3 linked regions of the Callithrix jacchus genome follow. The protein of the gene in region 1 binds, or shares a complex with, the protein of each later gene. Links are inferred from orthologs where the notes say so. Each region holds a gene or a part of one and is shown in the gene's direction. Other genes may lie near its edges.

Region 1 (3,649 bases):
TGAACTCCTGACCTCAAGTGATCTGCCTGTCTCAGTCTTCCAAAGTACTAGGATTACAGGTGTGAGCCACTGCGCCTGGCCAAGCAGGTTCTATTATCACCATTACTTTGTAGCTGAGGAGTTTCAGGGAGCTTGGAATTCAAATTCAGATCTGATTGCATGGTGGTTTTTTTCATTATATCCTGTTCAGGGGAGGGGGAGCAATTACACATGTGTTTATTCGTTCACTCAGCAGACATTTTTGAGCACTGACTCTTACTACTCCTGGTTAGATGGTGGGAATAGGAAGACAAGAAGCAGCCCCGTTTCTGCAGAAGCTCCAAGCTGAGGCTAAGGGACTGAGCATTATCATCAGAGCTGTGACAGCAACGTGTAGAGCCCTAAGAACTGTTGCCGTCCTGGCTTTCCTTGGGGCTTACCCCGCCTCCCGGTAGTGAACGTCAGAGTCACTGCCTCCCAGAGTGGGCTCTCAGCACTTGGGACTGTGTGTCTCAAAGCCTCCTTTCTTCTCTCTGAACAGGGACTTCAAAATGAGTGTCCCTGACTACATGCAGTGTGCTGAGGACCACCAGACGCTGCTCGTGGTGGTCCAGCCTGTGGGCATCGTCTCTGAGGAGAACTTCTTCAGGATCTATAAGAGGATTTGCTCTGTGAGTCAGATCAGCGTGCGGGACTCCCAGCGCGTCCTCTACATCCGCTACAGGCACCACTACCCACCCGAGAACAACGAGTGGGGTGACTTCCAGACCCACCGCAAAGTCGTGGGCCTCATCACCATCACAGACTGCTTCTCCGCCAAGGATTGGCCGCAGACCTTCGAGAAGTTCCACGTGCAGAAGGAGATCTATGGCTCCACGCTGTACGACTCCCGGCTCTTTGTCTTTGGGCTGCAGGGGGAGATCGCCGAGCAGGCACGCACCGATGTGGCCTTCTACCCCAACTATGAAGACTGCCAGATGGTGGAGAAGAGAATCGAGGACTTCATTGAGTCCCTGTTCATTGTGCTGGAGTCCAAGCGTCTGGACAGAGCCACAGACAAGTCTGGGGATAAGATCCCTCTTCTCTGTGTCCCGTTTGAGAAAAAGGACTTTGTAGGACTGGACACAGACAGCAGGTAAGTTTACCTAGAGACCCAGGCCCCTTGGCTTCCCTGCATCAGAAGGGGAAAGCACATGGCAGAGTTTTGTTGCATCAACAAGTAGAAAGGTATTGTCCATTGGTTTCTAAAACTAAGGACTTTGTGTCAGAATCTGTTTGAGTGCTGCTAAAAAACCAGCCAAACAAAACCCAGTGACTTTTAAAGACAGAGACGGGCTTTGGTTTGGGGGAGTCTTTTGGAGTTTTCTTGTACACTCCCCTTTTTTACTGGGGGTCCCCTTTTGGGACTCCTGGAGCTCTGTCCTATGCAGCAGCTACAGCCAGGTGCGGCTTTTGGGTACTATACACCAGGCTAGTTTGAGTTGAGATGGGCTGTGAGTAAAGGCCATGCCGGATTTTGAGACTTACTTCTGAAGAAGTAAACTTTCTTGCTAATTTTGTTTTTTTTGAGACAGAGTCTCTGTCGCTGAGGCTGGAGTGCAGTGGTGTGATCTCAGCTCACTACAATCTCTGCCTCCAGGGTTCAAGTGATTCTCATGCCTCAGCCTCCCGAGTAGCTGGGACTACACGTGTGCAGCACCACACCTGGCTAAGTTTTGTATCTTTAGTTCAGACAGGGTCTCGCCATGTTGACCAGGCTGGTCTTGAACTCCTGGCTTCAAGTGATCCACCTGTCTTGGCCTCCCAAAGTGTTGGAATTATAGGCGTGAGCCACTGTGCCTGGCCAACTTTCTTGCTGACATGTTTTATATAGACTGCATGTTGAAATGATAGTATTTTCCGTATCTTAGGTTAAATAAACTATATTTTAAAAATTAGTATCGACTATTTGATTTTTACTTTTAAAAATGTGGCAACTAGAAACTGAAATTTACTTAGGTGGCTTGTGTTTTATTTCTGCTGGACAGCACTGTGCTAGAGCACAGCTGGAACACTTTTATTCAGTCTCATCCCTTTGGTTCATAGATGAGAGGGTGAATCTGGAGAGGCAAGGACCAGATCCTAGCTGAGCTAGAAGTGGAGCCCACGTCTCCTGATTCCCAGGCTGGGCACCCTGTGTGTGTGGCTACTTTTTCTTTCCTGATGGCCGCAGCGTCGAATTCCTCACTTACAGAGCAGCCAAGCATGGGCATCAGGATGCCAGAAATACCACCAGGGAGCTCTTTAACAGCTACGTTACACAAACGGAAAGGATGCCTATTCTCTCTGTGTACAGGGAGTGTTGGATAGGGCAGGAAAAGGTCAGTTTCCCATCTTGCCTGTTATTAAGTCAAAAACTTTATTTCGAATCTGAATCACTGATGAGGTCTTCTTGCCACGTACTTCCACTCTCTACTCACTGCCCTGTCCTGCCACGGTGGCTCTCCGGCAGAGCTGGATGGGATACAAGCTTAGGCAGCAACTGTTTGCCAAGAGGGCATCCTCATTTGCCAGGGAAAGTGAGGTGTCACTCACCAGCCTCCTGGCTGGGGCAGGGCTCTCCTTCCGCCTGTGTAGGCTTGGCTGATGAGCCATAGGTGCGGAGTCAATGATGTAATGTGCGTGGTGCCATAGTGCCTGCCGCAAAGTAGATGTTCAGCATGTTTCTTAAATTTGTCTAAGGTCAGATGGTATACTTCTTTCTGGTTGTTGGTCAGTCTGAGGAGAAATGATCACAGAATTGACAGACTGAGTCCAGGCCTCAGTGTTGGAAGCATAGAGTAGCCTCAATCACACCTGCCTGTGGTGCTTTGCAGGGTCTGGAAGGAAAGAATTTTCATTTCTTCATCCAAATGTGCATATGTGGCTTAAGGAAGGGGAAAGGCGTGTTGTAGAGCTGCTCTGTGTTGAATCCTCATGCAGCCCTGCGATCCATCCAAATGGGATTGCTGTGGTGGCTGATAAGGGGCTGGAGCAGCAAGGTTTAGAGGCCTGGGCAGCCAGCGAGCAGCAGAGCTGATGTAAGCACCGGGTCTGTCTCTGAGGCCCAGGGCCTTTCCACCTCATCTCATGGCCTTCTGCTGTGCCTCCTGTGCCTTTTGAAGAACGCACACTGCTGTCCAGCCAGCAGGCACCTGCAGAGTCATCCCTGATAAGGTGGTGCTGTATGGTGTGCACCACTTGGCGGCCACCTGCAAGGTCGGCAAGGAGCAGCCTGCCCCTGCTTTACAGAGAAGGGGTGAAGGCTGAAAGCTCATAGGCAGCATGGGTCAGGAACCCTGCTCTGACCCCTTGATTTTTGCCTTCCTCCTTTGCCTCAAGGGCACCAGTGACATTTTTCAGTCATCCACTTCTCGGCTATAAGGCTGCAGAGCCACCTTTGAATGCCAGGTCTTTTTTGTCTTTGAAATCTGGGCTCACCACTCTGCAGGAATAAGAGTGTGCTGGAACACAGTGCCTCACATATAGTGGATAATGATTGACAAGTGTTGGTTGAGGGGCTTCATGTGCCAGGCATGGCTCCAGGCACTGAAAATACAGTGGCGAATAAAGTTGCTTGCTCACGCTAGTGGGACAATTGCAATTAGACATCAGTTAGCACTTGAACTTCAGTGAGATAATGACACCAATG
Region 2 (3,649 bases), on another chromosome or scaffold:
AGTGATTCATAAGCTAGTTTACTATCTTTGGCAAGTTCCCATTTGTTGACTATCACAATAATTCTGTGGTTCACATTTTTGTGTGTGGCTTTTTATCTTTAGATTATTCTGTGGGGAAGATCCCAGGGCATGAAGGGAGGATTTTAAGGAATGAGTATTTTAGTGCCCTCCTGGTTTCACAGAAGTTCATACCAATGAGCTTCTTACTAAGCAGCATATGGGTTTGAGTGTCTCATCTTTGTGATAGTCAGCAGTGTTACTTAAAAAAAATTTTGTTGATTTGATATTTTAAAAAATGCCATATTACTGTTTTATTTTTTATTTCATTGATTGCTAGTGACGTTGAAACTCTTTGTTTTTCCTCTTTTGTGAATTGCCTATTCAAAACATAATTTGTATTTTTTTCTTTTCCATATCTTGTAATAAGTCCTTTACATATACCTAAAATAGTTAATTTTGAAGCAGAAATGATCTGGTCAAATAGTTTATTAATCCCTATCTGACTATAAATGAAATAACTTGGACAAATACATATAATTTACCTACTAATTTATTAGTTTATTCACCAGTATGTATTACATAACTTGCTTTTTTATACAACCTTGCTAAATGCTTTAATAATGTGGCAAAAAAAAAAAAAAAAATGATTTTGGAACTGGAAAATACCCCAGCATTTTGGTGCTCAAGTGTTTTGATTTTTTAAAGATTGCCTTATTTTAAGTCTTGCTTTGGCCTAGTCATCATAGTGAGACTTCCATCTCTACAAAAAAATTTAAAATTTGCCAGGTGTGACAGTGCACATCTGTAGTCCCAGCTACCTGGGAGGCTGAGGTGGGAGGATTGCTTGAGTCCGAAAGGTTGAGGCTGCAGTGAGCCAAGGTCATGCCATTGTCCAGCCTGGGAGACAGAGCAAAATCTTGTCTCAAAAACAAAAAACAAACAAAGAAAATTAAATAAATAAATAAGTCTTGCTGGTTAAATTTATTGAAGATATTTTGTGTTATTTATAATCATTGTTGATAATTTGAATGACTGAGATTTCTCAGGCTGTACCTATCCTGTCTTGAATTTTAGCAAACTCTGCATTTTTTCTAAAGTTTTGGAAGCCTGAATACTGATTAGAAGAGTATGGCTGAGTGTGGTGGCTCACACCTGTAATCCCAGCACTTTGGGAGGCCAAGGTGGGCAGATCATGACGTTAAGGAATTCTGGCCAACATGACAAAACCCTGTCTCTACTGAAAATAAAAAAAATTGGCTGGGTGTGGTGGTGGGTACCTGTAGTCCCAGCTACCTGGGAGGCTGAAGCAGAAGAATCGCTTGAACCCAGGAGGTGGAGGTTGCAGTGAGCTGAGATCATGCCACTGCCCTCCAGCCTGGGTGACAGAGCAAGACTTCCGTCTCAAAAGAAAAAAAAAAAGTACAAGCAATTAAACTTGGAAATGTTTTTTTTTAAAACATTTATTAGCTTTTTAAAGTATATTAGTCTGTTCATTATGGGAGATTTTTAAAGGAGATTTAAAGATAAGTGAACATTTTCATTTTATGTGATGAAGTATTTCTTAAAAAATACTCTTTTTTTCTATAAATTTCAAACTCTTTGGATTTCTTCATGACTAAGAAATGAAGAAGTGGACTAAGATGGCAATGGACTAAGATGCTTAACTGGAATTTAGGGAGACATAATTTTGGTTTCTTGTGTTAAATAATGTCATGGTAAAAGTGTAATAGTGTTCATGAGGATCAGGTTTATCTCCAGTATAAGCCAGTTAACTCTTCTTTGCAACATGACAAGACAAATGTCGTTGCTTTGGGGAAAACAGGCCTTTCCCCCCTCTCTCCTACTGCTCTTATTGTTCACCTGTCTTTCTCTATCATGCTTAGCCCACCATTACCTTTTCTATGTAACTGATGAATTTTGCAAAAGAGTCTGGTCAGAGCAAAAGAAGAAATTTGCTCTTATTGTAAAATTAAATTAAATGACCATTTTGGCCATTGTTGCCTATGAGCAGCTGGGTATTTTCTCCAGGGGTTTTTTATTGTCTTGGTGGAGATATCTTCAATAGGCTCCCCGCCCCAACCCCGGGTTTTGAAACAGAGTTTTGCTCTGTCACCCAGGCTGGAGTGCATATGTTGAGGGCCTACTACAGCCTGGGTTTACTCTAGGTGTGGAAATAAAAACACTCTGTGTAGAGCTTAGCATGTGGTAAAAAAAACCTAGTAAATGCAGACTTTAATGCTGTTGTTTTGGAGTATTGATATATATGGGAGTGTTAATAATCTGCTTTTTGATCATTAGACTGTATGTTTTATGAAATTTATTTTTTAGGTTACAAGTGAACCTGAAATGATTGGAACTGAAGTTATTTCAGAATTCTTAATTAATGGTGAAGAATCAAAAGTGGTAATTATTTTATCATTTCTCTGCTTTATGCCTTTCTGAAAGTAAGATGAAAACAAATTTTAAAATCATCTTCACTTATTCAGTTTATATTCTAATTTTCATAAGAACTAAAATTTGGAAGATTAGGAAACAGGAATTACTCAGGAGGAAATTGGTGGTTTGTAGTGGTCTTTGATTCATTAGTTTCCTGAGAAGCCTGTTGAATGGTTTTTGCTTTCTTCTTGATGTCAGTGTGGTAATTTCACCTGATATTTAGTTGGCCACACTATTTTGCTTTTTATGAAAAGTGATTATTGAGGATTTAGGCCTATAATTGTTAAATTTAGAGATTTTATTTTGAAGAAGATGCTTTTCATAAATTAATTGGCATTTTAAAGTTTGGGTCATAAGTTTATGTTTTTGCAACATTATAGAATTAGGCATTGTGCTATTTAAGATATTATGAAAGCATAATAAGAGTGACTTAAATATCTCCACAGGCAAGACTAAAGCTCTTTCCCCATCACATAGGGGAGCTGCATATTCTGGGAGTTGTTTATAATCTTGGCACTATTCAGGGCTCTGTGACAGTAGATGGCATTGGTGCTCTTCCCGGATGTCACACAGGTAAAGGCTATAGCATTGGTAAACAATTAGAAAACTTGCTTAAATCATTCCATAGAAAAAAAAAATGAGCAATAATGAGGTATTTTCTAATTAGGTTTACTGTACCTTTACGTAAAGGCATTTAGCCAGTTGTAAGAATGACAAATTTAGATTATTTTAATCTCTAACATAGTGTCAAAAATAAACAACTTGATTCCCTTCTGATATATTTTCTTTTGATAATTTTTAGACTGTATGTATTTTTTTCTGTTATTGATGCAAATTTAGTAAATTCTAACTAAGTAAATTTTAACCGTTGATTGTCTGCTGCCAATTTAAAACCATATTAGTATGTTCTATTTTTTGAATATTTCCTTTTTATAAATCATGGAACAGATTAAAGAGCTGTGTTTTCACATCATTGGATATTAAATATCTTAAAGTTCTATCTTCTGTCTTGAAAAAAAGCATAGGGTTTTAGTGTTAATCTCATATTCTTGGTGCACTATACAGTATGTTCTACACATACTACAAGATATATGTATTTAACATAGTTTTCTTTGTTTTTTTAAACTCAGGGAACCCTTCAAGATTTAACATTACCATGTAATTACTATATATAGTTATTTGAGTTTAAGTTGACAAGATGCTAGGAGAGGGA
Region 3 (4,211 bases), on another chromosome or scaffold:
GCAATGGCGCGATCTCAGCTCACCGCAACCTCCGCCTCCTGGGTTCAAGCAATTCTCCTGCCTCAGCCTCCTGAGTAGCTGGGACTGCAGGCGCGCGCCACCATGCCCAGCTAATTTTTTGTATTTTTAATAGAGACAGGGTTTCACCTTGTTTACCAGGATGGTCTGGATCTCTTGACCTCGTGATCCACCCGCCTCGGCCTCCCAAAGTGCTGGGGATTATAAGCGTGAGCCACCACACCCGGCCTGAGTAGTGCACTTCAGCTGTCTGACTCCCTTAGGATCGGCCAAAGGTGCCCTAAGTCAGGGTCATACCTAATGCATTTCTGCAGGTGCCCAGCCCTGTGTGGCAAAAGAAGCACTACCAAGGATGGGGTTATCATGAAAGCCAGCGCCGCACCACTGGTAGTACAAGACCAGCATATGCTTCCGAATGAGACTCAGATGGGAAGACCCTGGGGCTTCTAGGGGTCTCCAAAGACTGAAGATTTCTGGTGGAGAGACCGCCCCTCTTGCGCATCCTGCCCAAAGTGCCTGCCCTGGCCTTGGGCCAGCAGAAATGGCATTACAAGGACTCAAAACTACATCATACCGAACGACGCCGCTATCCAGGTTCCACCGGGGTTTCCAGGACCACGCACCTTTCCTTCATATCTGTGATTATTTAGCTTTTCCCTCTACCCTTTATTGATCTTCGTGACAGAAATGGTTGGGTCTGGTTTTGATCAGTTGTACCCTGCACGGCACGTGGTATGGAGTTAAGGCTGGATGAATATCTGTTGAGTGGGTGAAATTTTAGAGATTACATTAAAACTCAAGTAAGCAATGGCCAAGACGTGAGACTCCTATTCAGCCACTGTTTGCTGACATTACCTGGCAGAGCCAAGAGGGGCTTCATGCTTTGGGACTAAATCCACCCACCTATCATTGATATTATCTGTATCATCAATTTTATTATACAAGTACTGCTGGTGCATGGTAAGAAACGTAGAAAATACAGATAAACACAAAGACAAATCCCTAGAAACACTGATTTCTAGGTTATGTTGGCCAAGAGGAATAGCCTAAGCGTTTCCGTTTCATCCGCCCCATCTGCCACAGGCTTGCCTATTGCCTCTGAGTGATAGCATCAGGCTAGATTGAGTGTAGTCTCTGTTCCCATTTCCAACCACAGGGTCCGTTCCCCTCAACTACGGACTCCTGGTTCTCTGGGCACGTTCAGACCTTGGGCTCCAGGCCCTGCCCACGGCAGACGAGCCGGAAACGAACCCCACTTCCGGCCTGGGGCTAGGGCCACCTCTTCCTGCATCGGGCATGCGCGGAAGTAGGAGCGCGGCGGCCCGCTATGCGCAGGCGCACAAGGCCGCCGGGTGCTGGCTCGGCTCCCTGATTCCTGGCTACTGTCACCTTCCTCCCGGACCCTGGTCACGGCCGCAGGTGACCCCTTCCCCCAGCCCCAGTGGGCGGGTGGCAGGTGAGGATCAAGGCCTCGGCTCAGCCCGGGGGCTCTTCTCTGGGACGGATGCTGTGGGCGTGGGGTCCGGGCGCGGGTCGCCTCCCACCCGAGAGCGTCTGCGCTCCGCGGGCCTTGTGCCAGGCTCGGTGCTGCCGCGGCCCTCGCGCTCCACGTCTGCAGAGGCTGGAAGCGTCTCCGCAGCCCGTGGCGGTTGCAGGGAGGGGAAGCTGCCCGCTGGCGAGCCCAGGCGTCCCCGAAACCCCCAACTCCAGGCTCGGTGCCAGCCTGGCCCCCAGCAAGCCCCGTAACTTCTCTTAGGCTTAATTCACCCTCGTGCGGAAAGAGGTTACTAATGACCTGCCCTGCCAAACTCAGCGTTGTGAGGCTGCAATGCAGCGTGAAAGCATTTCAGTCACTGTAAATGTCCGCTGTTGCTTCACAGTAAATATGTAGAGTATATCTACGGTGAAGACGGTAAAAGCATTTATTCGACAGAAAGCGATAGCGTCAAAGATTTGTTTTAACGTGTCATTTTTCCACTCTTGACTACAAGACTTTAGTGGCCCCAAGGAAAAATTTTCTTGGACCTACGGTTTGTACCTTTACTTGAAGACATGGTATTTTTGGATTCAAACATTCTTCTTTTCGTAAATTCAGAAGATAGCGGTGAATAATGAGCCAGGCCCCTATGTGGGATTGGGGTGGGAGAGGGAAGATGCAAATGAAATATTACAGTCACGGTGTCACTCATTCAGTTATTTCTAACTGGATCTTCACGGTGACTAAACTGTGCTGCCATTCTGCTTTCTCGTTAAAATGATAATTGCTATGCTTGTATCTGTGCAGCTCTTCACACTTTAAAAGATGTCCGTGCATGGGCACCACTGCTTAATCCTCTTTATTCTGAGGTACCAGTCTCTTCTAAAAGTTGGAGATTTTCAGGGGTCACTTCACTTGGCTGTGAAACTAAGACTCAACGCAGTTACTGAGACCCTGCATTCAGAGCTCTTTCTGCCCATCCCTGCCTAGCGACATTGCCAAGAGAGCGGAGAGGTGACCAGCACAGAGAAAAGGTTATTGGCAGGAAACCCTGTGTGGGTAGCCTGTCACCATCAGGTATCATCAGTGTGACGTTAGGCAAATCACTTGGCCTTCTCTGCTGTATGATGGAGGTAATAATAATACTTCATAAGTTTATGATGAGTATTAAATAATACAGATAAACTGCTAGATCTGTAGTGAGTGTTCATTACCTAGAGACTTCTATTAATACATGCTACCTAGATTTCCACTACACACTCTAGTGCCCCTATGGAAAGAAATTTCATGTGACTGCAATTTGGTAAAAGATTTATATTCACAATGTCTGTGTCCAGAAAATGAACCTGAGAAAACAAGTCTTAAATGTTATTAGGAACTTTTTATTTCTCAAATACAGAATTACTTAAATTTAGTATTTTTAAAAAATGTAAACAGTTAAGCACAGTCTTGTGCAAAGCCCTCAGACAAGGAAAAAGTCAGATTATTTGCTGCACTGTGATGCAAAGCTTATGTAAGCTTAAAATTCCATTTATGGTTTAATAAAACTAAAGTCCATGACAGGAGGGAGTAAAGACTTATGTACAAATCAAGAACAGATACCTGTGTTTTTCCATTTTTGATTATGAAAGATAAAGACTACCTGTAACTCGTGAGATTTAAAGAGCAAGTTAACCCAGTCTTCCGTTACCAGCATGAGATGGGACCACTTGCCACTGCTGTGAAACTCACATGTGTCCCTCCCCAGTCAAATTCTCATGCCATCACCTCCCACCCCTCCTTCACTATAGTGGGTATATAGTGGTTTTTACTGTATCCTGGCTTTTCTTTTCAGTTTGACCAAATGTGTTTGTGTTCCTAACGCAAAAAAATGTGTTTGAATTCAACATTTGTGTTTAATTTACATTTGAATATACAGAATCATGCTGTTTATTTTTCTACTCATTCTTTGTGCAAATTTTAATTTGTGAGATCCAAACATCATTGATGTGTTGGATATGGAACAGTTCACTGATTTTCACCACTGTTTCAATATTTTCTGTTTTAGTATACCATGCTACTTATTTACTTATTATTTCGTCTACAGGCAGTGTTTATTTCCACTTTTTCTTTTAGGGCTTTAGAAGAAAGGTATTTTGATTTGTTTATGAAAGTCAACATCATAGCTTACGCTGCTCACGTACAGGAATTCCTCCATGGTATGTATGTAACAATGCACTAGGTCCTAGGTGCTGTGACCGCGTATTTATTGTTTCAACCAAGACTCCTTTTAGAGTGAAAGGAGACACGTAATGATTTTACCTGTGGCACAGTGCCTCCCACCGGTAATCTCAGCACTTTGTGAAGCCAAGGCAGGAGGATCTCTTGAGTCCAGAAATTCAAGACCAGCCTGATCAACATATTGAGGCCCCATCTCTATGAAAAATACAAAAATAGCTGGGTGTGGGGACACACATCTGTAGTCCCAGCTGCTTGGGAGGCTGAGGCAGGAGGATGGCTTGAGCCCAGAAAGTTGAGGCTGCATAAGCCACCTTAGTGCCATTGCACTCCAGCCAGGGTGACAGAGCGAGACTGTGTCTCAGAAAATAATAATACTGATAAAATAATAGTAATAACTTAGACCATGGGTGAAAACTTGAATCGTTCTGGGGAAAATCAAGATGTATACTTACCTACGTGATAGGATTTGTGCTTTTTAAACTTTACTAGGTAATAC

Evidence for each region.
Region 2: TRAPPC9 (region 1) and TRAPPC8 share a complex: the UniProt entries of both Homo sapiens proteins name them as parts of the multisubunit TRAPP (transport protein particle) complex. The link is inferred for Callithrix jacchus from reciprocal best matches to the Homo sapiens genes TRAPPC9 and TRAPPC8.
Region 3: TRAPPC9 (region 1) and TRAPPC12 share a complex: the UniProt entries of both Homo sapiens proteins name them as parts of the multisubunit TRAPP (transport protein particle) complex. The link is inferred for Callithrix jacchus from reciprocal best matches to the Homo sapiens genes TRAPPC9 and TRAPPC12.

Annotation. Positions count from the first base shown.
Region 1 is NC_133517.1:57,087,678-57,091,326, forward strand, and holds part of TRAPPC9 (trafficking protein particle complex subunit 9), read left to right. Parts: intron 1-520; coding exon of another isoform or gene 521-530; coding exon 531-1,114; intron 1,115-3,649. UniProt on the Homo sapiens protein: Functions as an activator of NF-kappa-B through increased phosphorylation of the IKK complex. May function in neuronal cells differentiation. May play a role in vesicular transport from endoplasmic reticulum to Golgi.
Region 2 is NC_133514.1:74,973,365-74,977,013, reverse strand, and holds part of TRAPPC8 (trafficking protein particle complex subunit 8), read left to right. Parts: intron 1-2,328; coding exon 2,329-2,403; intron 2,404-2,882; coding exon 2,883-3,009; intron 3,010-3,649. UniProt on the Homo sapiens protein: Plays a role in endoplasmic reticulum to Golgi apparatus trafficking at a very early stage. Maintains together with TBC1D14 the cycling pool of ATG9 required for initiation of autophagy. Involved in collagen secretion.
Region 3 is NC_133515.1:111,639,095-111,643,305, reverse strand, and holds the start of TRAPPC12 (trafficking protein particle complex subunit 12), read left to right. Parts: upstream 1-1,355; 5' UTR 1,356-1,437; exon of another isoform or gene 1,438-1,474; intron 1,475-4,211. UniProt on the Homo sapiens protein: Component of the TRAPP complex, which is involved in endoplasmic reticulum to Golgi apparatus trafficking at a very early stage.